Arabidopsis thaliana: one gene and its partners. The protein of the gene in region 1 interacts with the protein of each later gene in a pairwise test. Each region holds a gene or a part of one and is shown on either strand. Other genes may lie near its edges.

Region 1 (8,168 bases):
CGATAACCACCTGAGCAAAGTTAGCGACAACCTGGAGAGGAATGACAATCATCAAGACCTTCTTTTCCTTGTCCTGCAAGTAGGGCTTCAAGAAAGACCAACCGGTGCCGATCAAGACGATCAAAGTGAAAAGAGTGATACCCTTAAGGAAATTGAAAATGTAGAACAAGACATCCCAACCATGAGCAGTTCCAGTTTTCTTAATGTACGACTTATCCTCAGCCTCACAAAGAAGGTTCAAAGCTTTCAAGACAACAACTCCCAACATGAAGAAATGGATTGCGAAAACAGTGAGACGTTTCTTATAGAGAACGTAGATCCACGTGGCGGCGAGAGAGAAATAGATAACAGAGAATAAGAAATAGACCTTAGGAAGAACAGTTCTTCCAGCAGAGAGATAATCACGACCTCCCTTTTTACCTTCAAGGTTATACATAGCGGATCTAACATCCATACTGATTTTGACCTGTTGGAGACAATTAGCGAAGACGAGAGAGTACTGATCCGCATCGTTCTCGGTGAATACGGTGGAGAATCTGCTCTTATCTCCTCCCTTGAGATTGTTGAAGGTGAACACATGCTTAACGAGATCTGATTGTAGAGCGCACGTGATCTCTTCTTCTTCAAGCTGTTGGATCACATGAACCCAAGCGTCTCTAGTGCAGAGAAAGAAGCCCACTTTGGAGAGATCGAGATCGGGATTGCTGTTGGAAAGCCAGATCTTGGAAGCGTCAAGCTCAAGACGACCGCTGTGAGTGAAACCGAATTCGTCTAAAGGGATGATTGGACGATCATCGGATCGGATCTCTGATTTACGAATCTCAGCCGAAGCTATGGAGATGGAGATCAAGAGAAGGATAAGGATCGATGAGAAGCGTGAAGAGAGATCCATGGGAACTAGGGTTTCGTTCTTCGACTTCACAGAGAGATTAATCTGATCTCAGATGTGAGATCCAAAGCAAAATCAATCCAACTTGTTCTTCTTCCGATGAAAACGGTTGTGTGTGACCAACCAAATTAAATTAGTCTTTTTTTTCTTTCTAAGAAACAAAATAAATACCATTATTTTATTAGCAACAAGAGAACCCATTTTCCTTCATCATTAAGGGAATAAACCATCTTTGACGGATTAGTTGATTTCTAGAAACAAAAATTTCACCAATTCACCGATTCCAACCGAATGGCCGGCGTTTCCAGTGTATTTGAAGGAGTTGTAGAGTGATAGGGAAGAATTCATAAATTTCTCTTTATCTTTAATTTCTCGTAGTGCAAATGTAAAAGCGGATAAGTTGGCACGAAAGATTCGTACCGTACCGCATCATGTCACGTATGTAAACAATATCTCTCGGGATTGGATCTTTTGAGTTCAAATTTATATCGGTTGACAAAAAAAAAAAAAAAAAAAAAAGGAAGAAATTAAAGTATTGATGAATTTCGTTTTGAATTGGTCGGAAATTGGATGTATAAGTTGAGAACAAATTATCCATCAATTTAAATCATAAAATGTTTTTCCGAATGACTTTTTTTTGGAGATGTATTATTTCTAAATGTTTTTACGGTTTCTTTAGATCTCGTTCAGATTGTATCAACAAGCGCGAAACCTTCATTAAACATAAATGGTATACAAAGAAAGCTTAAATACTAAACCGGAGAGATATTATCTATTTATAATAGATTGGTTTGACTGTTTGAGTGTCTATGGTCTAACTCTTGTCCTCTCTACACAACCCGACACTAAACCAACATCTTCCACTCACATATGACGAAAAACATCAGAAAGTAGTAGAAGAGTACTCTTAGAGATTTTGTTCAAGAATCGCAATTCGAAAAAGTTACACTGCAAATAAACCGTGTGACCCGTGCAAGTATATGTGCTTTTGGAAGCTAAATTCATGCAGCTGCTACGGAGACATACAGTCTACATACCTAAATATATTACATAGCATGTCTCACTCCAACCTCATTTGTATTTCATATTAGTCTCAACATATTCCCATAAAGCATATGTTAAACCTATTTTACATCACGTTTTCACTAACTTCAAAATTCTAATTTGAGGGATAGAAGTTGGTCACATGATACATATTTGTTAACGTATGAACATCATAAAATCTAACAATTGATACAAGAGTATGTAGGATACAAAGTTACACGTTGTGTTTGTCTCAAACAACATTAGTAACATTTTTTAAAAAAATTGTGTAGACAAACACAACATTAGTAACATTTAAAAAAAAAAATGTGAACCGGTTTATTTTTTCACCACTTAGCTGGAAAATAAATAACGTGTATTTGCGTAAACAATACATAAGGTTTAAAAATGTGTTAGTGCTATGTTTTATACATTTCTAAAAAGCGTTTGGATCTCACCAACCAAACATAGTATTTGCCAAAATGCAAACGCTATCTAAAATCGATGTGACATTACTAGTCAGATTTAGTGGGTTTGTTCTAGAAAAGATCTTTATTTTATACATTCAAATTTTCAAAACTACAGTTATTTTGTTGTTTAGTGTCATCCTTTTGAATAAACAATCATAATCCTTAACGTCTCTTATCTTTTTTTTGAATCCTCAATCTATGGACCGTTTGAACTGCAATCGTAATGAGGATGTTCGTGGTCCACATGAAATCACTTTACTCTACTAATAAGTGATAGTTTTTTTATTCGAATTTTAACTCGTTACATTCTTTTACAAGAAAATCGACCTTGTTATATTTATTTATATGGTTGGTCATGCATGCAATAGTATTATCATTACTTTACCTGGTTAGAGAGATGTGGAATATTAAGGGATTGGTTGAATATATACGACACACCTCGTCGTTTTTATTTTGTTTTTGGTCAACTCCTCGTCGTCTTTGAATTCTCGAAATAAACACCATGCCGTTTCAAATTTTCTTTGGAAAAGAAAAGACCCTGTATTGGCTTTTATATAAACCGCTTTCTTCCCCTTTACTTTTTCCCAACACTAGCAAGCAAAAATTCTTCATCGACTCAAATTCAAAAACTCATCTCTCTCTATCTCTATTTCTCTGGTTCCATAGCTCACCGTCGCATCGCAGATCTACTCCTTCCGCAATAAATTTTACCGGCGGAGGTATCAGATCTCGCCGATCTGTTGTAGCAGCTACTGTATTTTGGGCTTCTCATTTGATATTGGGGAAACGAGGAGTAGAGGACGATGGAAAATCTGATCTCTCTGGTTAACAAGATACAGAGAGCTTGCACGGCTTTAGGAGACCATGGAGACTCCAGCGCTTTACCTACTCTTTGGGATTCCTTGCCTGCGATCGCCGTCGTTGGTGGTCAGGTTTGCATCTCGATCTCCTTCCCCTTCCATTATATGCTTGACGATCTATCTCACGATTCGTTCGTTTTTTTTGCGATTCGGAATTGATATTGAGCTGAGGTATTCGGATAAATTTGCCCTAAACTTCGTTGTTTTTGCTTATCAACATCCGGATCGTGAGGAATTATAGTTTAATAGCTTCTACTATGAACTAGCTTTGCAAGCAATTGGTATTGAGGAATGTTGACTTGGCTTTGACTTGGATATTTTTTCACTAGTTGGTCTTGAACCATTTAATTTAAGCTACGATTGTTGTGGAGAGGGGTTTCTGTACTTTGATAATTCTATGTGGCATTAAGTTTATGTTGTATCCTTATTGTGTTGACAGAGCTCAGGGAAGTCTTCAGTCCTGGAGAGCATCGTGGGAAAGGACTTTTTACCCCGTGGATCTGGTAAATACAGTGTTAACACTTCTTACTTAGTTTTAATTATGAAATTGCTTATTTCCTTGAGTAATGACAATATGCATTTGCGGTAACTATTTGTAGGCATTGTTACTCGAAGGCCCCTTGTCTTACAGTTGCAAAAGATCGATGATGGAACCCGGGAGTATGCAGAGTTTCTTCACCTCCCGAGGAAAAAGTTTACTGATTTTGGTGGGTTTCGGCTATCTCAATTTGCAGTTCAAGTTTCACCTTCTCCTGTATTCCATTGATATTTGATTAATTTAATCACCTCTATAGCTGCTGTGAGGAAGGAGATTCAAGATGAGACTGACAGAGAGACTGGACGCAGCAAGGCTATTTCTAGTGTTCCCATTCACCTTAGCATATACTCTCCCAATGGTAAGGACAACCCAAAATCTCTTTCCAGTTGTATGTGCTTTTTGTTCATTCTCTAATTTTTTATCCTCTTTACTATGTGTGCAGTTGTCAACTTGACACTGATAGATCTTCCAGGGCTTACAAAAGTTGCTGTTGGTAAGTTACAGTAGAGCAAGAAGTTTTGGTCTATTTTTTCTAGCGATGAAGCATGAGGCAATAGACTTTATTCTCTACCATACATAATTTGGCATGACACGACAAATTTCTTTTGGTTGATGCAGATGGACAATCTGATAGTATAGTGAAGGACATTGAAAACATGGTTCGGTCCTACATTGAAAAGGTAAATGAAAATGCTTACTCCCAGACCCTTTAATGTTTTATAGATAGCTATCGCCAGTTTAAATTAGATTCGGTAATATATAAGTATTCTCCCTATATTTGTTATGTTTTCGTAGCGCCAAATGAGTTGACACTATTCTGTTTTTTTTTTTATTTAATTAAATTTCCTTATAGCCCAACTGCATCATTTTGGCAATCTCACCTGCAAACCAAGATCTTGCTACCTCAGATGCAATTAAAATTTCCCGTGAGGTTGATCCATCGGGTGAGCATTTTACAAACAATTCATTTTTCCACCTAAGAGACCCAACACATTATTCTGTCATCCTATGTCTCTTATAATCTTGGTGATCTTCACAGGGGACAGAACATTTGGTGTCTTGACAAAGATTGATCTTATGGACAAGGGGACGGATGCAGTGGAAGTAAGTTGAATTCCCAGTTTATAGAACATCTGTACTAGAATTTCGAATTACTGTGAATAAAATGTGTTGTAATTAGTCTATGATATGATGTTGGAGCTATAAAATGCTAATTTGTGTAGTAACATCATAATACTTATGTTCCCTCATTAATGTTTATTGCGTGCACCGCTACTTACCAAATGATATTTTTTGCTCAGATTCTGGAAGGGAGATCTTTTAAACTTAAATATCCGTGGGTTGGTGTCGTCAACCGTTCCCAAGCAGATATTAACAAGAATGTCGACATGATTGCGGCTCGGAAAAGAGAGAGGGAGTACTTTTCCAATACTACTGAGTATAGGCACCTTGCTAATAAAATGGGTTCCGAGCATTTGGCAAAGATGCTCTCCAAGGTACGTGCTTTCACGAGGCTAGGGGTAGTTTTCTTCACCAGGTTCTTTATAATAAGTAAGTTGGCGTTGTGAAATTTGTTAGGAGTGGTAAATAAGAGTTTCAGGGCCAGTGTTTTCACGATTGCTGCTAATTTTCTTAGCAGCCGACAGAAAATACTAAGAAACTACGAAGTTATGGCAATGCTTAGCACGTTTCTCTGTATAAAACCATCAGGACAGAGCCTAATTGCAACAATTTTATTTGTTGCGCAGCATCTAGAACGTGTGATCAAGTCGAGAATTCCTGGCATTCAGTCACTTATTAACAAAACAGTATTAGAGCTGGAAACTGAACTAAGTCGCCTTGGAAAGCCTATTGCAGCTGATGCAGGGGTAAATTGTGTATTCTTTTATTTTTGATTGAATTGCGCTATCAAGATTTACTTAATGTTCTGATGCAGGGGAAGTTGTACTCAATAATGGAGATATGTCGGCTTTTTGATCAAATATTCAAAGAGCATCTTGATGGAGTGTACGTTTTGACTCTTTTTACTTCAAATGTTTAAGATTACACCATGAGTTGTTATAGCGTCTGAGTTGATATTTCTACTCTTGACCTTCTGAAACTACAAAAGGAAAATTGTAATTTAAGACTATGGTTGATTACACAGGCGTGCTGGTGGTGAAAAAGTGTACAACGTGTTTGATAACCAGCTTCCTGCGGCTCTGAAGAGACTCCAATTTGACAAGCAGCTAGCGATGGACAACATCCGGAAGCTGGTCACTGAGGCTGATGGTTACCAGCCTCACTTGATTGCTCCTGAGCAAGGTTACCGTCGTCTCATTGAGTCTTCTATTGTCTCCATCAGAGGCCCTGCTGAAGCATCTGTTGACACCGTATGAACTCTTTACTTTCATCTCTAAAAAGATGTATCAAAAACCTAACACAAAACAATAAGCTTCTCTCTCCGTTTTTTTTTTTTTCTATGGTTAAATATTAGGTTCATGCTATCTTAAAGGATCTGGTTCACAAGTCTGTGAATGAAACTGTGGTACGTTCTTTTTTCTTTTAGTAATATATATATATATATATATATCTCCAACAACTAGTACTTTTGTACAATGTTATAGACGGTTTGAACATGTGCAGGAACTAAAACAATACCCAGCTCTGAGAGTGGAGGTGACAAATGCGGCGATAGAGTCGCTGGATAAAATGCGGGAAGGAAGTAAGAAAGCAACACTGCAGCTGGTTGACATGGAGTGCAGTTACCTCACTGTTGATTTCTTCAGGAAACTTCCCCAGGATGTTGAGAAGGGTGGTAACCCCACACACTCCATTTTCGACCGCTACAACGATTCCTATCTCAGACGAATCGGTAAGGTTAACCCATATAAATAAATAATTATCTGGTACCGTATATCTCACAAATTTTAGACATTTGGCAACAGGATCCAATGTTTTGTCTTACGTGAACATGGTCTGTGCTGGCCTGCGGAATTCAATCCCCAAGTCCATCGTATACTGCCAAGTCCGAGAAGCGAAGCGCAGTCTCCTCGACCATTTCTTTGCGGAGCTCGGTACCATGGATGTAAGTGCTCTCTGCCTTTTTTCTTAACCTAAAGAAGTGTCATTCGGGTAAACACTGAGTCAACTAATATGGTGATATCCAACAGATGAAGAGGCTCTCGTCGCTATTGAACGAAGATCCAGCAATCATGGAGAGACGCAGTGCCATCTCAAAGCGGCTAGAATTGTATCGAGCAGCCCAATCCGAGATCGATGCTGTTGCTTGGTCCAAGTGATACCGGCATGTCATGTCCACTGTTTTGCTCGGTTCTGGTCGGTGTGGCTCAGACTCGGAGCAGAGATTTAGGGTCTGTAATTTGTATAAGATGATCTTCCCGATACCATGCAGTATCGTTTTATATAACATCCACATTGTTTGTCCTACCTCTATGTTTTTTGTCCATCACCCGATATGTTACGTATCGTTTTATAACATCCACATTGTTTGTCCTGCCTCTAATGTTTTTTGTCCATCACCCGATATGTTACGTATCTTTTATAACATCCACATAGATTAGATTTTCTCTATTCCCTTTATTTAATTACTATAAAATGTATTTTTCGCATATGATAATTTTTCTGTAACAATAGTATAATATTAAACATTCTACCCAAAAAAAGAGTATAATATTTAAATATGATTACCAATAAGAAAAAAATTCTAATAGTTTAAAATAAAAATTTGTAATGTACTCTTTTTTATTTTGTTTTGCGTTTCTGAATTTGTGGCCATTATCTTCTCACACTCTCTTCTCTTAGCTCACAGAGGAAAGAAAAATGGCGAATTCCATTTCATCAATATCTCTGCCTCGATGTTTCATCTTCAACAATGGTAGTCACAAATCAAGGCCATGGCCAAGCTCAAGCAGTTTCTTTCTCAACAAATCATCAAAGCATCATCCTCATCCACTACTCTCTCTTTCTTCTTCGCCGTCTTCCGTCGTAGAAACTGATAATGACGACGACAACGACCTCACTTTCAGGTACCCTTTTGCTTCTCTTCATCGATTCCATTGGAAAGCTTAAACCTTTCTCAGCTAATCCAATTTCGTTGACATTAAGGATTTTAGAGTTAGTGATAGATTAGGGATTGCGTAAATGATGAAATCATAGAGACTCTTTTCTGCTGTTAACTTGTTAGTGTTATATGAATCTTCAATTTTGTTACACTAGTGAATCTCTTAAAATGATTCTCTACAATAACTAACCTCATAAATTTCTTTGTGGTCTCATGTTGGCTTGAGCGATTGGTTATATTGTCATTTGTGAATTGTGATGGATCCATCTCTCTATAGTCAATAGATCATAACATGAGGAATGAAACAGTGGTTGCAGAGCGTGTG
Region 2 (5,570 bases), on another chromosome or scaffold:
TTCATTGGTAAACAGAATAAATGATCCGAAGAATACTGAGAACACATGGTAAGCAAGTTCAATACAATGATTGTAATTAGTCTTCAGATAAGATTTCCATACAAAATGTCATTTCTTTTGAACTACATGGACAAATACTGTATACTATGATCAAATGTAGATGCATCAAATCTATCCAAAGCAGCACAAAACTACTTAATTTTCCAATAAGCAAGCCATAGATCACTCTCAACTCACATAGTGTCACATTCTTGAAGCAGATTTATGAATGTTCTCTTCACTCCGATTGAAAAAAAAACAATCCTAATCAAGCTGGACATGAAAGATGACAAAATCTTACCTAATTTTCCCAAAGCTAGAGAAGATTGTATGTGTAACCAACATAGAAGGCTTCGATGAAACTCGTGGCTCAGCAAACCATCTTGATGGCACACCTCTAAGTATAATCGTATCAGCCTCTCTCCTTCCTTCCCTTGAATGTCCTGCAAATCACAATCACATCAATTACCACGAAAAAATCGTAAAATCAAAATCCAAAATTGAAGAACCAAGATTACCAAAAGCGTAAAACTCCTCCCAATCCTTCTTCAACTTCTCGAAATCATCTGAAATCGGAAGTACCACACTAAGCTTATACTTAACTCCTTCCAAATTAAGCTCAATACCATTCATCTTCTCCACCAAACTCTTCCTCCAATCCAAAAACTTCTTCTCCAATTCCTTCACATCTCTCTCTCCATCATTCTCCTTCTTCTTCTTCTTCCCATCGAGAAACCCTAAATCGCGTATAAACAACGATCCATGAGCAACTGGCTCCTCACGCTTCCGTTTCTTCAAGTCCTTGTGACGACGAACTACGATGTCTTCCTCCGGAACTGTGACGGAGGTTACGACAGAGTTTTTGAGGTAATCTATTAAGGATCGCTTGAGTTGCCATTCGTCGATGGATTTGGATACGGATGGGACTACTGGGTGGATTGTGAGATTGAGCTTGACGCGTGAGACGAGAGCGAGACCGTTCTCTTCGATATCTAGAGTTTCTATCGGAGATAGCTCTTCTAACGATCGCATTTTTCGCCGTCGATGCAAAATTCAAAATCGCGATTGGCTCTCTCTCTCAGAGTGTCGTCGGCTATTGAGTACAGAGAACAGGAGGATACTGAAAACAGTGGTAAACCAGAATTCCAAATCGGTTATTTCCGGTTCTCTTGGTTTCCAATATTTTGGGAATAAATTGCATAAACGGTCCAAAATAGAGATAAATTCCAATGTAAATTTTTTGAACATTGACTGAAACCATTAATAAATGTTGAACGTTTCATCCAATGCCTAAATATATATGGTAAGGATTCTTATCTTAGTTATGAGTTTTGGCATACTAGGACTGAAGCATTGCATCCTACTGTGAGTTTTGGTGGTTTGTGCTCTTCTGTTGACCTTAGCAATGCGTCCATATAAATTGAGTATGGTTGGATTACTGTTCATACCTCTAGCGAAACATTGCAATTCGCTAGGTCTCTATTGTGGGGTTAGATGGCATGAACCATTAGTTGCACAAATGAACTCTAATGCATATCATAGAGGCTTGTTTTTGGATATAGTTTACGAAATATTGAGATGATATCTTTCATACAAAAACAAAAAATGCATATGATGATGACACTCTTACATACACTTTTGGTACTATCTATCCGCGTATGATTTTAAGATAATTTTTTTGAGCTTTTACTTTAATTAGAATTTAGTGATATACTTGTATGCACAAATTTATACAAGCAATTTATGAATACGGTATACACAAATTTATATACAAACAGTTAGACCAATACCAAAATTTGGTGATATACTTGCAAACCTAGCATGCTAACGAATTTGATAACTTACATGCCTTATCCCATCTAGCGAAACAAATTAGAGAGATTAAACTGTTGGAGATAAATTTAGAACTCGGTTGATCACAACTCAACATTTCGCACTCAAACATTACAAAAATACTAGTCTCCTACATCAGGATTACAAAGTGGTCTTCCGCATTTGTTCATTTGGAAAAATATACAACCAAACAAGCGCATTCGATGATACAAATTCTTGTACCACATTGAAATTCACTTACAATATTTTAATTCGAACAAATTTAGCTGAGAATGTCTTTATTGATAGCAAAAAGTTGTGTTAATTTATATTTTACGCATCCACATTTGTGTGTTTTATGCTTTCACATTTGTAAAGAATTTCTTTGAACAGTTGTGAAAATTTTCAACATTTATGAAAGAAAAGAAAAAACCACTTAATAATTTTCAACATTTATGAAATTTGAAAAATGTGTTAATTACTACGTGTTTATGTAAAGTTATATGACCCGTCTTGCCCATTCTCTCCCCGACGAAGACACACACAGACAAACAAATCCTAGCTTAGCACCGTCGCGACCGAATTCGAAATTCCGGTAACCCAATCGCCGGGAAAATCCACCGCTCGTGGCTACCGATATTGATTCTAATCGGATCTAGCGGCTCCCTTTCTTCGTCCAGATCTCGTACTTCATTCGACCTCGATTCGCTGTGCAAGTTACGATGGAGGCGATCGATGAGTTGTCTCAGCTTTCGGATTCGATGAGACAAGCGGCGTCTCTGCTCGCTGACGAAGATCCCGATGAGACCTCTTCTTCTAGACGGCCAGCTACTTCTCTCAACGTCGTTGCCCTAGGGAATGTGGTGGGTTTTCTCTCGCTTTTTCTGTTTCTGAGATGTGACTGTATTTGGCGTTTGTTGTAAGTTTTATACTGTGATCGAGTGTAGATTTTTGTTGCCATATCGTGGATCTTGTGGATCTCGATGAGGTGTTTTCGAAATGGTCCCGTAACCTAGGAGTTTGGTAGGATGTTTTGTATTCTTCATCTCTTCGTTCGTAGCTTGTTTTGTTGCGTTTCTCTCTTTATTAGGGATTATTTGATTCTATGAGATTCAAACCTGGGAGGTATTACTATAGTAGAGAAGGTTGATGCGTTTGTTATTTGAAACTATGAGAAATCTATTTTAGAAAGTGTATATCAGAACGAAAAGTGTATGTGATTTACTCTGTTTCCTAAAACACTTATCTGTTGGAAGACAGAAAAAATATTGCTATGTGTTTGTGATTGAAACTTCTTAGGCTTAGAAAAGAAAAATTTCTTATGTGAAGACTGAAGTTATTTCACTTTTCTTGGTGGATCAGGGAGCTGGAAAGTCTGCAGTTCTAAATAGCCTAATTGGGCATCCAGTTCTGGTAAGTTGTGTATTGAATTTGAGTGCGCGGCAATTTGTGTATGTCACTATTGGCTGATACATTTTCTTAAAGTAACCACTTTGTGTTGTCCTGTCTACTATGATTACCATGGATAGCCGACGGGTGAGAATGGTGCGACACGGGCTCCTATTATCATTGATTTGAGTAGAGAAGAATCACTGAGCAGCAAGGCAATAATCTTGCAAATTGACAATAAAAATCAACAAGTTTCTGCAAGTAAGAGCTCCCTATGTGCACATATGCAATTTAGCAATGATTTGTGAAGCTATTTCTGCATGTAAGATGCAATGCATTAGATTAATATTTGACTAATATTTCCGTTTTTTTCGAATGTGTGTATTACAGGTGCACTAAGGCATTCACTACAAGATAGGCTTAGCAAAGGAGCTTCAGGAAGGGGTCGTGATGAAATATACCTAAAACTTCGTACCAGCACAGGTAATTCCTTTCTACTTGCACAATCATAAATGGGAATCCCTATTTAATGCAACATCCATATTACCCAAGCCTAAGTCGGATAATGTCCCCTACTTAAGTGAACAGTTCAGCTGTAATGAGTTTTTACCTCTAAATCTAACGCACATTAGCGCTTCAACTTCTTTTGGGTAGAATCTGAAGCTAAGTTGTGAAAATTGGACTATATATCTAAATGAAGATCTAACTTAAATGTTCTCTTTGGAACATGAATTATCACATATCGTTTGTTTTGTACTGGTTTCTGTAATCATCATAACATATTTTTCCCTTTTAATTGCAGCTCCACCACTGAAATTGATTGATTTGCCTGGACTGGACCAGCGAATTGTGGACGATTCTATGGTAAGCTTAGGAACTGCTTGATGCCTTTGTCATCCCCCTAATCCACCTGTCAACCATGGAGAATTTCCACATTTTTTATTCGGCATTCTGGCTGTAGGGCTTCATAGATTCATTATCATTGTCATCTTATAATTTGTTTCTCTCCTCTCTTTGCAAGATTGGTGAACATGCACAGCACAACGATGCTATATTGCTGGTTGTTGTGCCTGCTAGCCAGGCATCTGAAATTTCGTCATCTCGAGCCCTGAAGATCGCAAAGGAGTATGATCCAGAGAGTGAGTATATAGGCACTTTCGTTATACAGACCCTTCATTATACTTCTAAACAACTGGGGTTACTACATTTGGATAGAAACATTGGAACTAAATTTTGTGTATACTATAACCAAAAAAAAAAACATCACTCCTTATTTATAGGTACTAGGACAGTAGGAATTATCAGCAAAATTGATCAGGCAGCAGAGAACCCAAAGTCCCTTGCAGCAGTTCAGGCGCTTCTTTCAAATCAAGGACCTCCAAAAACAACTGATATTCCATGGGTTGCACTTATTGGCCAATCTGTCTCAATTGCATCAGCGCAGTCTGGAGGCAGTGAGAACTCTTTAGAAACTGCTTGGCGTGCTGAGAGTGAAAGCCTTAAATCCATTTTGACTGGTGCTCCACAAAGCAAACTTGGCAGAATTGCCCTGGTCGACACTCTTGCTAGCCAGATCCGTAGCAGAATGAAGCTCAGGCTTCCGAACATCTTAACTGGGTATTTCCTCTCTCCATATGTTTTTGCTTTTATATGTCAAATGAAAAATCGATTGTTTGTTTGCCTATTTTTCTGTACTGGTACTTTAGGGAAGATTTACAATTTTCTCCATCAAAGCCAATTTGTTTTGTTTCTTTGAAGTTGAAGTCGACCTTTAGGCTTAGTTAGCTAGACTTTCCAGCTCCTATCATCATTAGCGCACTTCTCATGAGATATTTTAGAAACCTTTGTCCTTGTGTCTTTCTAATCAACATATACGGACCAGGTCGAAGCTAAGTTTCTGAAAAGGAAAACAAGATTCATATCTTTAACTGATTGAATAGATGATAATCTACCTAAAAGTCAAGAAATTAAACCTCTATGTTGAATTTGCAATGGAGAGGAACGGTGTTTAGTGAATTGGAATAAACCAAAAGGCAAAGATAAAGCAAAAGGGAAAGTTGCATAAGAGGAAATAGTTATCTGAAATTGGATATGTGCCAGATTTATCTGCCATCGTTACTGAGTTCTGAAAATAAGAACTCTTGCTTGCAAGATCTCTGGTCAATGCTCATCATCATCTGTTAAGCTGATATATTACTTTTGTCTCCCAAAATGTGATGTCTATCTTTTGTTTTAGTTTCTGGATGATTATTTAGGGACATGATTTTGGTTCTTATGATAGTCCTGAACTTACAAATTCCTTTGTTACATGCAGACTCCAGGGTAAGTCT
Region 3 (7,040 bases), on another chromosome or scaffold:
AAGTACAATAATTTTCTTTCTCATGAATGTTAAACCGAATAGAGAAGCCAAGCAAAGATATAAAAAATACAATGGGAGGCTTCCACCGTAGACAGTCCAATGATCATCTACATTTCGACCATTAACCAGTAACGACTAACGAGAATCAATATCAAATATTTTCTTAAACTCGGCAACCATTAATCTTCTGTTGATAAACTTTAAAAAAATTCATTATAGTAATCTTTTTATTTATCTTTTAGCCAATAAAAAGATTAGTCAAATTTGTAAATTATTCCATTGGCGTTGTCGCCAAAGTTTCATTTCAAAACCACATAGTTAGTTTATACTTCTTATTAAAAAAGAATTATGAGTTCGAGCGATTTTGTTAACTAGTGATATTTCGGTCTATATAAATTTTGAAGAAAACCCAAAAGAAAGCATAATTTGATGCAAAACATGTATCCACTTATCATTCCCATTGATTAACGTATTTATTGAGATTAGTTTGTCGACTTTTAGTATCAGCCATAAGACTCACTTTATGTATATTAAAGCAGGTCAATATAGATCATAAAGTGTTAATTAGTCAAAATTTGCTTTATTAAACCAAACTATCTTACTCTCTTTTCCATTTTTCCCGTTTCAAGTGTTTGCTAAAAGATCAATTTTAATTTTCTCGTTTCAAGTATTTGCTAAAAGGTCATCCATCACCCATAACCATAAGTCAAGCCGTGCAAACATAGAGTATTAGAAAAAACGTTAATTTGAGTTCAATATTACACAAAGTCGCAGTTGTAACAAGGATTTGCACAACAAAAGATTGAAAGATTAATGGATTAGTGACAAATAATTTGAAAGATCCAAAATATCATTAACTATATGGAATGTGAAAAAATCCTGCAATTTTTTTTTTTTTTTTGCCGTGTTAAAAATTCAATTCTTTCAAAGAACCAATTTTAAAATTATTTGTCAGTAAAAAAAAATAGAAACTACTTGATTTATAATTTTTAATAGAAAAATGATGTTAAGTCATCAACTCTTTTATTTTTTCGTAACTTCTCAACATATTTACTTTATTCGGATTGCATAACCTACTTTTTTTGTGTGTATAGTCTCTTTAAGCGCAAGAAATGGCAAGGAAAGTCGAATTATATTAGTACTATATATTATTATTATGCTTAAAAAAAAGTTGAAAACATTGGAAAAATAAAAAGCTGGAAAGAAAAAAAAAAGAAGAACTGTGTTTGTATGGGATGATGAGAAAAATGAAGAGCAGACTGTTGATGGAATATTGTGTTTCCTCAAATATCAACACTCCTCATTATATCATCAACCCATTGCTTTTTGTACGGACTTTATTAGTAGTATTAAAGAACACATCAGACTGATTTGTGTAAGCAAACCAGAACCACCCTCTTTTCAACATTTTTCTTTCAAAAAACTTCTACGTATTTATGTTCAATAAAACTTTGTTACTAATTTTCTCAACGAAATATATTTTATAAAACTTTGTTAGTAATGTTATACAGTAAACAGTAAAAGAAAATAAGTTCCAAGATGAGCGATCAAAGGATTGAATAGTTCATAAATAATTCGTATGCGCAACTACAACTGTAAATGATAACCTATGCAATGATAACTCACACACACCCATCTCACATGAAAAAGTGATTTCGACCTTATGTTAGTGATATCACATCTTTTCTTTTATCTCCACCCACAAAGTCTTTGGTTAGGAACTAGTTTGTTCAATTGCAACCATTTTTCCAAAGACTTTCAACCTCTCTTCGGAGAAGACTTCTATCTTTAAAACCAAAATTTTCTAAGTTCATATAAACATCAAATCGAGCCTTATATCATCACTTCAATGTGTATTTATCTTCTGTTGTGATTTATCAATTGAAAGTCAATACCAAAAATCCCATCATACTAATCACAATAATTTATAGCAAAAATAAATTTAACAATTTTTAAACATGGTAAAAATATAAATTTAATAATTAGTATAGGGGATAAATTGATCAACCGAATAGATTAATTCATAATTTGAAAAGGCCAAAAAAAAAAGAGAGAGGCAAAAACAGAGGCTCTGCTTTGGACTCCGCAAAGCGCACAAGGCCGCCTCTTTCACTATCCCCAAAGCTCCACCACGCACCCATCAACCACCATTTTTATTTCGTTTTTATTACATTCAAAAAAACTTCTTTTTGTCGTATTTCAATCAAAATTACATCACACACACTATTATGTTGGAATGTTTAACAAAACAAATAAATATGTTGAGCTATTCCAATTTTACATTTAATGTTTTTTTACTCCTACACGTAAACTACTTTTGAATATAATATCTAGAAACTAACCAAATAATCGAAAACGAAAATAATAAAATCAGCAAACAGTTTTAGCTTCATTAACAAAATATATATATGTTTAATTAAAAAATATGGTATTTTCTCAACGGACAAAAAAATAAAATAAAAAGAATATAAAAATGTGGTCTCTTCTCAACACTCACTTTACTCTTTTTTCCCTCTTCACCACTTCTCTCTCAAACTAAAGACAAAAGCTCTTCTCTCTTCCCTCTCTCTTCTCCGGCGAACAAAAGATGATTACGGCGGCGGACTTCTACCACGTTATGACGGCTATGGTTCCGTTATACGTAGCTATGATCCTCGCTTACGGCTCTGTCAAATGGTGGAAAATCTTCACACCAGACCAATGCTCCGGCATAAACCGTTTCGTCGCTCTCTTCGCCGTTCCTCTCCTCTCTTTCCACTTCATCGCCGCTAACAACCCTTACGCCATGAACCTCCGTTTCCTCGCCGCAGATTCTCTCCAGAAAGTCATTGTCCTCTCTCTCCTCTTCCTCTGGTGCAAACTCAGCCGCAACGGTTCTTTAGATTGGACCATAACTCTCTTCTCTCTCTCGACACTCCCCAACACTCTAGTCATGGGGATACCTCTTCTCAAAGGCATGTATGGTAATTTCTCCGGCGACCTCATGGTTCAAATCGTTGTTCTTCAGTGTATCATTTGGTACACACTCATGCTCTTTCTCTTTGAGTACCGTGGAGCTAAGCTTTTGATCTCCGAGCAGTTTCCAGACACAGCAGGATCTATTGTTTCGATTCATGTTGATTCCGACATTATGTCTTTAGATGGAAGACAACCTTTGGAAACTGAAGCTGAGATTAAAGAAGATGGGAAGCTTCATGTTACTGTTCGTCGTTCTAATGCTTCAAGGTCTGATATTTACTCGAGAAGGTCTCAAGGCTTATCTGCGACACCTAGACCTTCGAATCTAACCAACGCTGAGATATATTCGCTTCAGAGTTCAAGAAACCCAACGCCACGTGGCTCTAGTTTTAATCATACTGATTTTTACTCGATGATGGCTTCTGGTGGTGGTCGGAACTCTAACTTTGGTCCTGGAGAAGCTGTGTTTGGTTCTAAAGGTCCTACTCCGAGACCTTCCAACTACGAAGAAGACGGTGGTCCTGCTAAACCGACGGCTGCTGGAACTGCTGCTGGAGCTGGGAGGTTTCATTATCAATCTGGAGGAAGTGGTGGCGGTGGAGGAGCGCATTATCCGGCGCCGAACCCAGGGATGTTTTCGCCCAACACTGGCGGTGGTGGAGGCACGGCGGCGAAAGGAAACGCTCCGGTGGTTGGTGGGAAAAGACAAGACGGAAACGGAAGAGATCTTCACATGTTTGTGTGGAGCTCAAGTGCTTCGCCGGTCTCAGATGTGTTCGGCGGTGGAGGAGGAAACCACCACGCCGATTACTCCACCGCTACGAACGATCATCAAAAGGACGTTAAGATCTCTGTACCTCAGGGGAATAGTAACGGTATAGTCCCTCTATAACTTTGTTGTTTTGTTTTCGCACCCTAATTTATTTTCTTTACAAAAACACCCCCAAAATTTCTCTATGTCCTTCGATATTTATGATTTGGTTAAGGGGTTCTTTAATTGTTTACATGTGTTGTTGCCTTACTTTAGACAACCAGTACGTGGAGAGGGAAGAGTTTAGTTTCGGTAACAAAGACGATGATAGCAAAGTATTGGCAACGGACGGTGGGAACAACATAAGCAACAAAACGACGCAGGCTAAGGTGATGCCACCAACAAGTGTGATGACAAGACTCATTCTCATTATGGTTTGGAGGAAACTTATTCGTAATCCCAACTCTTACTCCAGTTTATTCGGCATCACCTGGTCCCTCATTTCCTTCAAGTACTGTTTCAAACTTGTCTTATTTTCACTTTACTTTGGTTTTGGTCTACTATTTTAACCACTTTCTTGATGCATAAAGGGTCAGCCTTGAATGCGTATATGTTTGAAAGTTTTTTCTGATAGATTGAAGTAACAAAAGATTTGAGAAAGATCTCTTTATTGGAATTAAATTGATGTGGTCTGTGCAGGTGGAACATTGAAATGCCAGCTCTTATAGCAAAGTCTATCTCCATACTCTCAGATGCAGGTCTAGGCATGGCTATGTTCAGTCTTGGTCAGTTCCTTTTTCTCTTTTCTTTTATTTTTACCTCTTTTCATTTATTACATAATTAAATACCATAAAACAGTCAATTGTTCTCTTTATTTCTGACCTTCATTCTTTATGGTGTTTTTTAAATTTTAAATGATTTTAAGAAAAAAAACAAATCATGTGGAAGCATGATTCTCTCTGTTTTCTTTTTCTTTGAAGTTTTTTTGAAACATGTTTGTATCAAAAAAGCAAACAAAACTGGCTTCACAGCAGAAAGCATGCTCCACAGTTCTCTGCTTATCATCATAACATGTCTCTCCCTTGAATAGGAGGAACCATTTTTTATTTTCTCTTAAAGCAACAAACAATTTTTTTATACCTAATATTGACCCCCTTATCGATGAAAAAACTTTCTTTTTTACCTTGTTTATGTTTCAGTAGACTTCCATCAACTGATTATAAAATTTGTGCTTAATCATGACTTTATGGAATGAATAGTTTAGGATAACGATAATGATGATGTTAATGTTGTGGTGGTGGATCAGTGGCTGTGATGATTATTTTTATGTCACTCTTTTGCAGCTAAAAACAGTGTATAAACTTAAATTAACCAAAAAGCAAAACAATAATAAATTATTTGTTTAAATTTGTGGCTTTTTTTGGATGTGTTAAAGGGTTGTTCATGGCGTTAAACCCAAGAATAATAGCTTGTGGAAACAGAAGAGCAGCTTTTGCGGCGGCTATGAGATTTGTCGTTGGACCTGCCGTCATGCTCGTTGCTTCTTATGCCGTTGGCCTCCGTGGCGTCCTCCTCCATGTTGCCATTATCCAGGTAGTTTTTATTTGCATGATCAAATATGAAACACTTCTGTTGTGTCTACTGTCGTTTATACGATTTCTAACCATTATTTTTATTGACAACAAACAGGCAGCTTTGCCGCAAGGAATAGTACCGTTTGTGTTTGCCAAAGAGTATAATGTGCATCCTGACATTCTTAGCACTGCGTAAGTTTATTAATCTATTAAATAGTTTTGTTGTTATAACAATAAATTTTGTTGTAGAAAAAAAGTTAGGTTGGTTTTGCCTACATTAATTATGATTAGGTGTATATATAAATATATTTTTGTTAACGTGAGTTCTGATTTTTGTTGCAGGGTGATATTTGGGATGTTGATCGCGTTGCCCATAACTCTTCTCTACTACATTCTCTTGGGTCTATGAAGAGATATTACCAAAACACAGGGACTTTGTTTTATTCTTTTGTGGGATGATGAATTGTGAAAAGAACAATGCCCTTTTTGTTGAAAACCCACAAATTAAATCAGAAGCAGCTTTAGAGAATCTTTGAGGATAATTGAAGCTCTTGAAGAAGAGAAGAAGAAGGAGACTTAAGTAGGAGCTCAGCAAGTTTTACCTTTTTCTTAATTTTAATGAACATTCGTGTTTCCTCTTTTGGTAGGTTTTAGGAATTTGTAAAAGCTTTGGCTACTTTTAGTGAATTAAAAACGTTAAGGAAAATATCAAATTTTGTGTGCATGCTAAAAGTGAATTGGTGTGTATAGGTCTAAATCTCACCAAAATAAGAAGTGTTTTAGCCATTTCAAAAGTTAAGTTCACTTAACATTTCTATGTTTCGTTTGCCTAAATGTGAAAAATCAGAAACTAAAACAGTAAAGTACATCTTCCACAAAATGTTTGAGAAAGGGATTTCTACGGGGGATTTGGGAAAATTTAAAACGTAGTCATGAATATTAGAAACTTTACAATAGCTTAGGTGGGAAGGTATGAAATAGCATGTGACTATAACAACACAGACGACACGAGTATTGGATTCAACAGAACACTCGATTAAATATGTAGAAGATAGGGGACTTGGTGCATGCGTTACGTTATTCGACTTGGTCAAGATTCCTCTTCACTGCGTTTGTGGAATCTTGAAAGATTCGTTTAGTGTTGTCAATTGTGTATCCTTTTACCGATTCTTCTCAGAATCATTACATACCACTTAGATGCTGATGCTTTTTATGAATAAAAACAAACCTTCATATTTATACGACGATCTTATATAATGATAAATCAAATGTATAATACTTAACTTGGTTTGAATTGTACTCTCGACATGAAAATCATTTAATTGCTAAAAATATTGGCTTGATTTAAATATGTGGAATGATGAATTTTTATTTATTTTAGTTACCAAATGAATTTATTAGAAAGTGAAATGACTGTATACAAAACAAAAATAAAAATAAAATTGATAGTAATAAATATATGAAGGCGTAATAATTAGAATGAGGAAAATAGTTAAAGAAAGCGACCCTAAATTTATGGCACGCCTCACCCTCACGTAAAAAAAAACCATCATTTTATTCTGCATGAGACGGCTGTAGCCGCCGTTGCATTCTTCAAATTTTCAATGTTTCCAATTAATAAAACTATTATTATAGCTCGATTTGTAAATATTTAAGCCTGCAATTCACATTGTTCAAATTCATAAAATAAAAAAAAACAAAAGTAATGGGTGAGGAATAAAAAGAAGAATGAGACAAGAGAGAAGAAGAAGACGCCG
Region 4 (8,902 bases), 2.9 Mb from region 1:
TGGTCATCTTGAGAACACGGTAAGATCACCTCAAAATATACAATTTTGGTCAATTTCATGTATTATGTCTGGTTTCAATTTGGGTGTAGACACAATACTACAATAGCGATTCCATTACAAACACTTTAACGAAAAAATCAACTTTATTTTCTTCAATTTATTTAATTTAAGCACATATATATATATATATATATATATAAATCCTGGTTTTCTATCCTACTATATTATTTGGGAAGTACATTTTAAATATAACCTTATTTTTTGTAAGTAATTACATATGTATGCCATTAGAAATAAAATTTTAAAGAGTAAATTAATTCATTTCTTTAAAAATTAAAAAGTCAATTTAATTAATTAAATTTAACTCAAAAACGAAATACATTATTAATTTCCAAAAAAGTAACCAATTAAAATCAACAAATTAGATTTGATATCTAAATTATCATATTAATTTTTTATTAATTATTATAGTTCACCTCTCATCTTTATATGATTTTATTTTTGCAAAAAAATAATATCATCGTTATAAAAAAATAATTAGAGTTTTTTTCGCATATGCCACAATTTAAATTTAAAAAAAACAAATATAAACTGTTCAATACATGAAAAAATACTATAACGGGTCAAAAGTAGATTTAAAAAAAAATTTTACTGAGTACTGTGTTATAATTTGAATATTTATATTCAATTTCATACATATTATTTTAAAATTTATAATTTTATATACTAAAATAATTAATAACATATTAGATTTTTTAATGTGTATGATGTGATTCAATTTTTAATACAAGTTGGAAAATCCTAGAATTGACGGGTTTAAATCAATATTAATACAAGATGGTATAGTACAGGTGAAACTCTAAAATTAACAATCAAAATACAAGTATATAATTTTAAACATTAAACAATATAAATAATATCAACAAAACATATACAACTAGCAGTTTACTATACATTTAAAATCAAATAAAATAATATCATATATTTGTAATCAACTTTACAATAAAAGTTTTTAGTTTAACTAAAATATAAGCCTACCTGCTGTATAATGCAAGTTAAAATTATAAATAAGCAGATTACCATCACGATGGATGTACCTTCTCACATACACACCTATCAAAAACTTAAAACCTTTCAAAACCTCTTGGTATATTCAAATTAGGATTCTTCATTCATAGAATCATTATTCCAAGGGTTTTGGGATGTCTTATGAAATGATTTTGGCAGAAGAGGATGTAAATTTTTTTGAATAAAAGGTATTCAACAAAACATATGTTTTATTGGGATTTTTTAGATAATTAAATCAGAGAATAGGGCTGGGCATATGAGTAACCCATTCGAGTTCGGGTAGAACCCGTTCGGGTTTGGGATTAATGGGTATATGATTTACTACCTAATAGAATAATTCTAAATATTCGGTTCGGGTCGGGTCCAGTTGGGTTTGGGTCAGTTTGGATAAAAAGTTTCAGGCCCTAAAAATACTCAAAAAAATAGAAACGAGTATTTTGTATGTAGATAGTGCGTCTCTAAACAAAAAAAACTTTTAAATTTATTAAGTTTTAATAAATTTAATTATATTTGAATATATTTTACTAAATTTTGACAAATATAACAAATAATTTTGATAAACATAACAAACATAACAAAGTATACAATGTAATTTATACAAAATATTAATGCCCGTGCTATACAGCACGGGTTATGATCTAGTCCTAATATATTTTCAAAGTCAAATACAATTTTAAACAGAACTTCTTACATAAAAATAATCAGAATCATAAATGTAACTGGGAGACAAAGATACATAAACTGATAAAAAGAAATAAGATGTACATATAGAATCAAATCAATACCCACTTCTCGTAAAACCCACTCATCGTTATATTTTATACAAGATAAGATAAGACTTAAGAGTAGATGTTAAACTATGCTAATGAAGCAATTTAAAAACACCAAAAAGACCAAACAAAAAACAAATAACAATGAGTAGGTTTTAGGAGAAGCATGTATTGATTCTTGGTATAGTTGAGTTTATTTATATTTTCATTAGCCAATCACTTTTTCTAATTTAACTAAAAATGTTATAATACCTTCCCCACCTAGATGATGAGATAATCATGGACCCAAAAACCTCAGTTTTTAAAAATGTTTATTCACCAAAAGACAAAAACAATAATAATAATCAAAAGTAGAGTAAAAGAAGAGAGAAGTGACATTCTTTTTCTTTAGCTCATAATTTCTCTAACAAATGCTTCTTTTATCCAAACTCTGATCATTGAGTCCAGTTGGGTAATGAGAGACACCAGCTGGGTTTCTTTTGTTTAAGCTCACAAACATCTAAAACAGAGAAAGCTTTGTCATTTTTCTTTACCCTGAAACCATGAAAGAAGATAAAGCTTTGTCCTTTTTCTCTTTTCCGTTTCTTTACTCTCAACAATGTCTTCTTTCTCCCATTGCAACAACCACTGGGTTTGGTTCATCTTGTCCTCTTGCGTCTTAAGTAAGAAAAAAGAAAAAAGCTTTGCGTTTGGGACTATGTCACAGCTTCTTGTTCTTCTTGTGGATGGTTTCAAGAACTCAACTATGAGATTGTTGTTGATAGAGTTTTAGTTTTGGGTTTGAAGAGATCTGAATTTCTTCAGCTGAATCTGAGATTAGGAGTCGAAATGTCTATAACTTGTGAGCTCTTGAATCTTACTTCAAAGAAAGCTAAGAAGTCGTCGAGCAGTGACAAGAAATGGCTAAAGAAGCCTCTCTTCTTCCTGATTTTGTGTGGCTCTTTGGTAATTGTTTTGGTTATGTTCTTACGGTTAGGTAGAAGTCAGAAGGAGGAGACAGATTCTTGTAATGGAGAAGAGAAAGTGTTGTATAGACATCAAAATGTCACAAGAAGTGAGATTCATGATTTGGTCTCTTTGTTCTCTGATTCAGATCAGGTAATTGCATGAATTGACTTGTATTTGTTGAAATTGAGCTTTTGAATACGCACCAGATTTGCCTTAAAGTGTAACAGTTTCTCTGTATTTGTTGTAGGTAACATCCTTTGAATGTCATAAGGAATCAAGCCCTGGAATGTGGACAAACTATGGTATTACATGTTCCCTGAGTGTGCGTTCTGATAAACAAGAGACTAGAGGGCTTCCCTGGAATCTTGGCTTAGGACATTCTATCTCATCAACATCTTGTATGTGTGGTAATCTTGAACCGGTAAGATAATATTCGATTCGACAACATGTGAAGGAAATGCTTTAAGATTTGGTGTTTAGCTAGTTCTCACAAAAGTTTATTGTGAATGTGTTTGGTTATGAGTAGATTTTACAGCAACCTGAAAACCTTGAGGAAGAAAACCATGAAGAAGGGCTGGAGCAGGGTTTGTCATCGTATTTAAGAAATGCATGGTGGTGTCTAATCCTTGGTGTGTTAGTGTGCCATAAGATTTATGTATCTCATTCTAAAGCACGAGGTGAGAGGAAAGAGAAAGTACATCTGCAAGAGGCTTTAGCTCCAAAGAAGCAGCAACAACGTGCTCAGACTTCTTCTAGAGGGGCTGGAAGATGGAGGAAGAATATCCTTCTCCTTGGTATTTTAGGAGGAGTTTCCTTCTCTGTTTGGTGGTTTTGGGACACTAATGAGGAGATCATAATGAAAAGGAGGGAGACTTTGGCAAACATGTGTGACGAACGAGCACGTGTTTTACAAGATCAGTTCAATGTTAGCTTGAACCATGTTCATGCCTTGTCTATTCTTGTATCTACATTTCATCATGGTAAAATCCCATCTGCCATTGATCAGGTGATGTTTTTTTCTTACTGCTAAATACATTTTGTGTCTCAAGTTTATGTTTAAATCATCAACTTCTGTTACATTTACAGAGAACATTTGAAGAATATACTGAGAGAACAAACTTTGAGAGGCCACTTACTAGTGGTGTAGCGTATGCTTTGAAAGTCCCACACTCAGAAAGAGAGAAATTTGAAAAGGAGCATGGATGGGCAATAAAGAAAATGGAAACTGAGGACCAGACAGTTGTACAAGATTGTGTTCCTGAAAACTTTGATCCCGCACCGATTCAAGACGAATACGCGCCAGTTATATTTGCTCAAGAAACTGTTTCCCATATTGTATCGGTCGACATGATGTCTGGAGAAGTCAGTAACGTCTAAAAGTTTCTTGAACTATTTTGCCAAACCAATGTCCTTAAAAGAGAATTCAAAAGTCTAACTATTTTGCAGGAAGACCGTGAAAACATCTTACGGGCAAGGGCATCAGGAAAAGGAGTGTTAACATCTCCATTTAAGCTTCTTAAGTCAAATCATCTTGGTGTTGTGTTGACCTTTGCTGTCTATGACACGAGCCTACCGCCTGATGCTACAGAAGAACAGCGTGTTGAAGCAACTATTGGGTACTACTTCTACTTAAAATGATTCTAGGACTGAAGAAATTGAACCTATGTAACAAAGAATGATCTCTGGACCAGAAAATATTAATAAGATACACTTAAAAACAGGTACCTTGGTGCATCATATGATATGCCATCGCTGGTGGAGAAACTTCTTCACCAACTTGCCAGCAAACAGACAATTGCTGTGGATGTTTACGACACAACTAACACTTCAGGTCTAATAAAAATGTATGGCTCAGAAATTGGGGATATAAGTGAGCAGCATATAAGTAGCCTTGATTTTGGTGATCCATCAAGGAACCATGAGATGCATTGCAGGTTAGTTAGCTCTAACTGTTATGGTACATTTTTATAAGATATGTTTCACTTCTCTGTTTTCTGAAGTATGAAAGTGGCATTTTTCATTTACAGGTTTAAGCATAAACTTCCCATTCCCTGGACAGCGATAACACCGTCGATCTTAGTTCTGGTTATTACTTTTCTTGTTGGTTATATTTTATATGAAGCCATCAACCGAATTGCGACAGTTGAAGAGGATTGTCAGAAGATGAGGGAACTCAAAGCTCGTGCTGAGGCCGCTGACATTGCAAAGTCACAGGTGATCTTTGTGAATCATATAGTCTCAAAAGCTTTACTTGTTTTTTCACTGAAATGCTTCTTATTTTGCAGTTCCTAGCAACTGTTTCTCATGAGATACGGACTCCGATGAATGGAGTTTTAGGTACTTTTTCTACTTATCCTTGGTCAATATTGCATGTTCTCTTAAAATCAGCTGAAACGTTTAAGCATTTTGTTACAGGAATGCTGAAAATGCTGATGGACACCGATCTTGATGCGAAGCAGATGGACTATGCGCAAACTGCTCATGGCAGTGGGAAGGATCTTACATCACTAATAAATGAGGTTCTTGATCAGGCAAAGATTGAATCCGGAAGGCTCGAGCTTGAAAATGTGCCTTTTGATATGCGTTTTATTCTTGATAATGTTTCATCTCTCCTCTCTGGCAAGGCAAATGAAAAAGGAATTGAGGTATAATTATAAACTGCATGACCTTCTACTTTCTTAATGTTTTCATATGGCAAACAAATTCCATATGTAATGAAATGTTGACTTCTTGTTACAGTTGGCCGTTTATGTTTCTAGTCAAGTTCCTGATGTTGTAGTCGGTGATCCGAGTCGGTTCCGGCAGATCATTACAAACCTGGTTGGAAACTCAATCAAAGTAATTTACTCCTTACTTCTTACAGAACAACAGGCTTCACGAATCTCTACTATTACAGTACTCATTTGTTATTTACTTAATAACAGTTCACACAGGAAAGGGGACACATATTTATCTCAGTGCACCTTGCAGATGAGGTAAAGGAGCCTCTTACTATTGAAGACGCAGTGCTAAAACAGCGACTAGCTTTAGGATGCAGCGAGTCCGGTGAGACAGTTAGCGGGTTTCCTGCGGTAAATGCATGGGGAAGCTGGAAGAATTTCAAGACATGTTACAGTACTGAGAGTCAGAATTCTGATCAAATCAAATTGCTAGTTACAGTGGAGGACACTGGAGTTGGCATACCTGTGGATGCACAAGGCCGAATCTTCACACCTTTTATGCAAGCCGACAGTTCCACATCGCGGACTTATGGTGGAACTGGCATAGGTTTGAGTATAAGCAAACGTTTGGTTGAACTCATGCAAGGAGAGATGGGGTTTGTGAGTGAGCCCGGGATAGGCAGTACTTTTTCATTTACTGGAGTTTTCGGGAAAGCAGAAACAAATACGTCGATTACTAAGCTGGAACGATTCGATCTAGCTATTCAGGAGTTTACAGGATTGAGAGCATTAGTTATTGATAACAGAAACATTAGAGCAGAGGTCACCAGGTACGAACTTCGGAGACTGGGAATATCTGCAGACATTGTTTCAAGTCTGAGAATGGCATGCACTTGTTGTATCAGGTACTTTACGTACATTAGTGTCTGTCTGTCTTTAGAGATTATAGTGAGTTCACTAAAAGCGTTTTATTGTTCTGGAATCTTTGCAGCAAATTAGAAAATTTGGCTATGATTCTAATAGACAAAGACGCCTGGAACAAGGAAGAATTTTCAGTACTTGACGAGTTGTTTACCCGAAGCAAAGTAACCTTTACAAGAGTCCCAAAGATTTTTCTTTTGGCAACTTCTGCAACTCTTACTGAGCGCAGTGAGATGAAGTCTACTGGTCTCATCGATGAGGTGGTGATAAAGCCTCTTCGGATGAGTGTCTTAATATGTTGCTTGCAAGAAACCCTTGTCAATGGCAAGAAGAGGCAACCGAACAGACAGCGAAGAAATCTTGGACACTTGCTAAGAGAAAAACAGATTCTGGTTGTGGATGATAATCTTGTGAACAGACGAGTTGCAGAAGGTGCACTTAAGAAATATGGAGCTATTGTTACATGCGTTGAGAGTGGCAAAGCTGCATTGGCAATGCTTAAGCCGCCTCATAACTTCGATGCTTGCTTCATGGATCTCCAGATGCCTGAAATGGATGGGTAGATAACTATTTTTCAATCTTATCTCTTCAGCTTGTTCATTTCTTGGATGTCGTCCTTGGTAACTTTATAATTTTTTGCGCAGATTTGAAGCGACAAGGAGAGTCCGTGAGCTGGAGAGGGAAATCAATAAGAAAATAGCTTCTGGAGAAGTTTCAGCTGAAATGTTCTGTAAATTTAGTAGTTGGCACGTCCCGATATTAGCAATGACAGCAGATGTTATTCAGGCTACTCATGAAGAATGCATGAAATGTGGAATGGATGGTTATGTATCAAAACCGTTTGAAGAGGAAGTGCTCTACACAGCGGTAGCAAGATTCTTTGAACCTTGTTAAAAGAAAAAGCCATTTCCCTTGTAGGATTATATATCAACCCGAGAGCTTTTTGACATCGGGTAGTATATCTTGAACATCCATGACCTGCAATTCAACTTGAGATCAAGGCAAGAACCAGTTCATTGTCAATTTTTCTTCACAGGTCTCTTTCAGCTTAAGACCTCGTCTGGTTGAGTGAGAAAAACTGCGAAAACCGATCTTTCTCTTTGTATAGACACTTTGTCTTCATTGATCTCTGCCTGTGTGTATAGTAGATTCCTAGGGTATAGCTCCATTATATTCATTTTATATATATATAAACCCAAACTCTGTCCTCTTAACTATGAAACAGCTTGTATATTGTGTAGTAATAGTAATGGCTCTTGATTACATGATAGGAAGCGTATAAATGACAGTGTGTTCTGAAAAGCTTCCAGAAGCAGAACAAAATCTTCCTCAAAAGTCAAAACCAATGCAGATCTGGCACATGATTGCATCTGAAGCAAACCAAGATTCCCTAGTCATAGATCTTGAACTTTTGGACTAATGATTCTTTCTAACTAGTATAAAGGGTATCAAGTTGCACTCATTTCCTTAGCTCCCAAACTTCCTAACTAGATAGATCAGATCTGGATCTCTCTGCACCACTCATTGCCTTCTCTAGAAACATGTCAACTTTCTTGATAAGGATACTTCTTCCTTTGCTTATCATAGCAATGACTCTTCCTCGACGTTCAGGTAAAAACACCACTGCAATGTTCATACTATGTCCCTTTTTTGGCCTTATGCAGATGTATGTGAGTGTATGTTTAAGCAGAGGCAGAGTCGGAACAATGGTGCATAGCGGATGAACAAACGCCAGACGATGAGTTGCAAGCAGCCTTAGACTGGGCTTGCGGAAAAGGTGGAGCAGACTGCAGCAAAATGCAGCAGGAAAACCAGCCTTGCTTCTTGCCTAACACAATCAGAGATCATGCCTCCTTTGCTTTCAACAGTTACTACCAAACTTATAAAAACAAAGGTGGTTCTTGTTACTTCAAAGGAGCTGCCATGATCACTGAGCTTGACCCCAGTAAGCTTTCTCCTCTCTCTCTTTCTCCCTTGAATCTTAGTAGATAGTGAACCATCTGTTTCTGATCCAGCTATGATTGTGACAGGCCATGGTTCTTGCCAGTATGAGTATAACCCCTGATTCAAACGACACAGCAAAGACAAGATACAGCAAGATGAAAAGCTATGATTTTGCATTTATACGTTTTCTCTATGTAATGTTTTCATTCCAAAGCAGTATCCATGTACTGTTCTCCCATTACACTCCAGTCTGAGATAAAAATTTCTTCAACAACCTGCTTTTACTGTGCATTGAGATTTTCTACAGTATCGAATATACATCAATCTGGTACTATTGCTCAATCTAGAGTACTTAACATGTAGTCACAGACTCGCAGTAATAGGCTGATTCCATTTCTGTTTAGAATACGTTGTTATCACACAGTGCTACCATATAACAACATTGGTTCATTCTGTTCATGGAAGTGAAAGAACAAGTGTCTCCATGAATGTAATGGAAATACATACTTGAATCAAGTCATATACAGTATAGGAGCTATCGATATACTACAGAGATCCATCAACATCAACTTTGTCTTTACAAGTTCTCCT

The links.
Region 2: the proteins of DL1 (region 1) and DL3 interact in binary tests that used the Arabidopsis thaliana proteins (3 or more experiments, as listed by UniProt).
Region 3: the proteins of DL1 (region 1) and PIN1 interact in a protein complementation assay, tested with the Arabidopsis thaliana proteins (one study listed by BioGRID).
Region 4: the proteins of DL1 (region 1) and HK2 interact in binary tests that used the Arabidopsis thaliana proteins (3 or more experiments, as listed by UniProt).

The regions. Positions count from the first base shown.
Region 1 is NC_003076.8:16,819,554-16,827,721, reverse strand, and holds DL1 (dynamin-like protein), read left to right. Parts: upstream 1-2,705; 5' UTR 2,706-3,185; coding exon 3,186-3,314; intron 3,315-3,681; coding exon 3,682-3,745; intron 3,746-3,841; coding exon 3,842-3,949; intron 3,950-4,036; coding exon 4,037-4,138; intron 4,139-4,222; coding exon 4,223-4,273; intron 4,274-4,398; coding exon 4,399-4,460; intron 4,461-4,633; coding exon 4,634-4,724; intron 4,725-4,819; coding exon 4,820-4,884; intron 4,885-5,081; coding exon 5,082-5,276; intron 5,277-5,528; coding exon 5,529-5,648; intron 5,649-5,716; coding exon 5,717-5,787; intron 5,788-5,926; coding exon 5,927-6,152; coding exon of another isoform or gene 6,153-6,158; exon of another isoform or gene 6,159-6,256; coding exon 6,257-6,307; intron 6,308-6,405; coding exon 6,406-6,634; intron 6,635-6,707; coding exon 6,708-6,847; intron 6,848-6,932; coding exon 6,933-7,061; 3' UTR 7,062-7,438; downstream 7,439-8,168. Other genes in the region: AT5G42090 (Lung seven transmembrane receptor family protein), read right to left, coding at 1-892; AT5G42070 (uncharacterized protein), read left to right, coding at 7,603-7,808, 8,152-8,168. UniProt on the Arabidopsis thaliana protein: Microtubule-associated force-producing protein that is targeted to at the leading edges of the forming cell plate during cytokinesis.
Region 2 is NC_003070.9:21,890,840-21,896,409, forward strand, and holds the start of DL3 (dynamin-like 3), read left to right. Parts: upstream 1-2,302; 5' UTR 2,303-2,573; coding exon 2,574-2,714; intron 2,715-3,213; coding exon 3,214-3,264; intron 3,265-3,380; coding exon 3,381-3,501; intron 3,502-3,630; coding exon 3,631-3,723; intron 3,724-4,042; coding exon 4,043-4,104; intron 4,105-4,261; coding exon 4,262-4,379; intron 4,380-4,520; coding exon 4,521-4,857; intron 4,858-5,554; coding exon 5,555-5,570. Other genes in the region: ZCW7, read right to left, coding at 341-482, 558-1,071. UniProt on the Arabidopsis thaliana protein: Putative microtubule-associated force-producing protein, able to bind and hydrolyze GTP. Collaboratively with DRP1A, participates in clathrin-coated vesicle formation during endocytosis.
Region 3 is NC_003070.9:27,657,185-27,664,224, forward strand, and holds PIN1 (Auxin efflux carrier family protein), read left to right. Parts: upstream 1-2,488; 5' UTR 2,489-2,587; coding exon 2,588-3,833; intron 3,834-3,985; coding exon 3,986-4,220; intron 4,221-4,408; coding exon 4,409-4,494; intron 4,495-5,144; coding exon 5,145-5,302; intron 5,303-5,398; coding exon 5,399-5,475; intron 5,476-5,625; coding exon 5,626-5,692; 3' UTR 5,693-6,069; downstream 6,070-7,040. UniProt on the Arabidopsis thaliana protein: Acts as a component of the auxin efflux carrier; this activity is enhanced when activated by D6PK-mediated phosphorylation.
Region 4 is NC_003076.8:13,910,102-13,919,003, reverse strand, and holds HK2 (histidine kinase 2), read left to right. Parts: upstream 1-2,198; 5' UTR 2,199-2,666; coding exon 2,667-2,936; intron 2,937-3,033; coding exon 3,034-3,207; intron 3,208-3,312; coding exon 3,313-3,792; intron 3,793-3,872; coding exon 3,873-4,148; intron 4,149-4,232; coding exon 4,233-4,402; intron 4,403-4,507; coding exon 4,508-4,720; intron 4,721-4,813; coding exon 4,814-5,000; intron 5,001-5,071; coding exon 5,072-5,123; intron 5,124-5,201; coding exon 5,202-5,431; intron 5,432-5,525; coding exon 5,526-5,624; intron 5,625-5,710; coding exon 5,711-6,351; intron 6,352-6,437; coding exon 6,438-6,926; intron 6,927-7,011; coding exon 7,012-7,261; 3' UTR 7,262-7,721; downstream 7,722-8,902. Other genes in the region: AT5G35740 (Carbohydrate-binding X8 domain superfamily protein), read left to right, coding at 7,909-7,978, 8,058-8,312, 8,398-8,432. UniProt on the Arabidopsis thaliana protein: Cytokinins (CK) receptor related to bacterial two-component regulators. Functions as a histidine kinase and transmits the stress signal to a downstream MAPK cascade.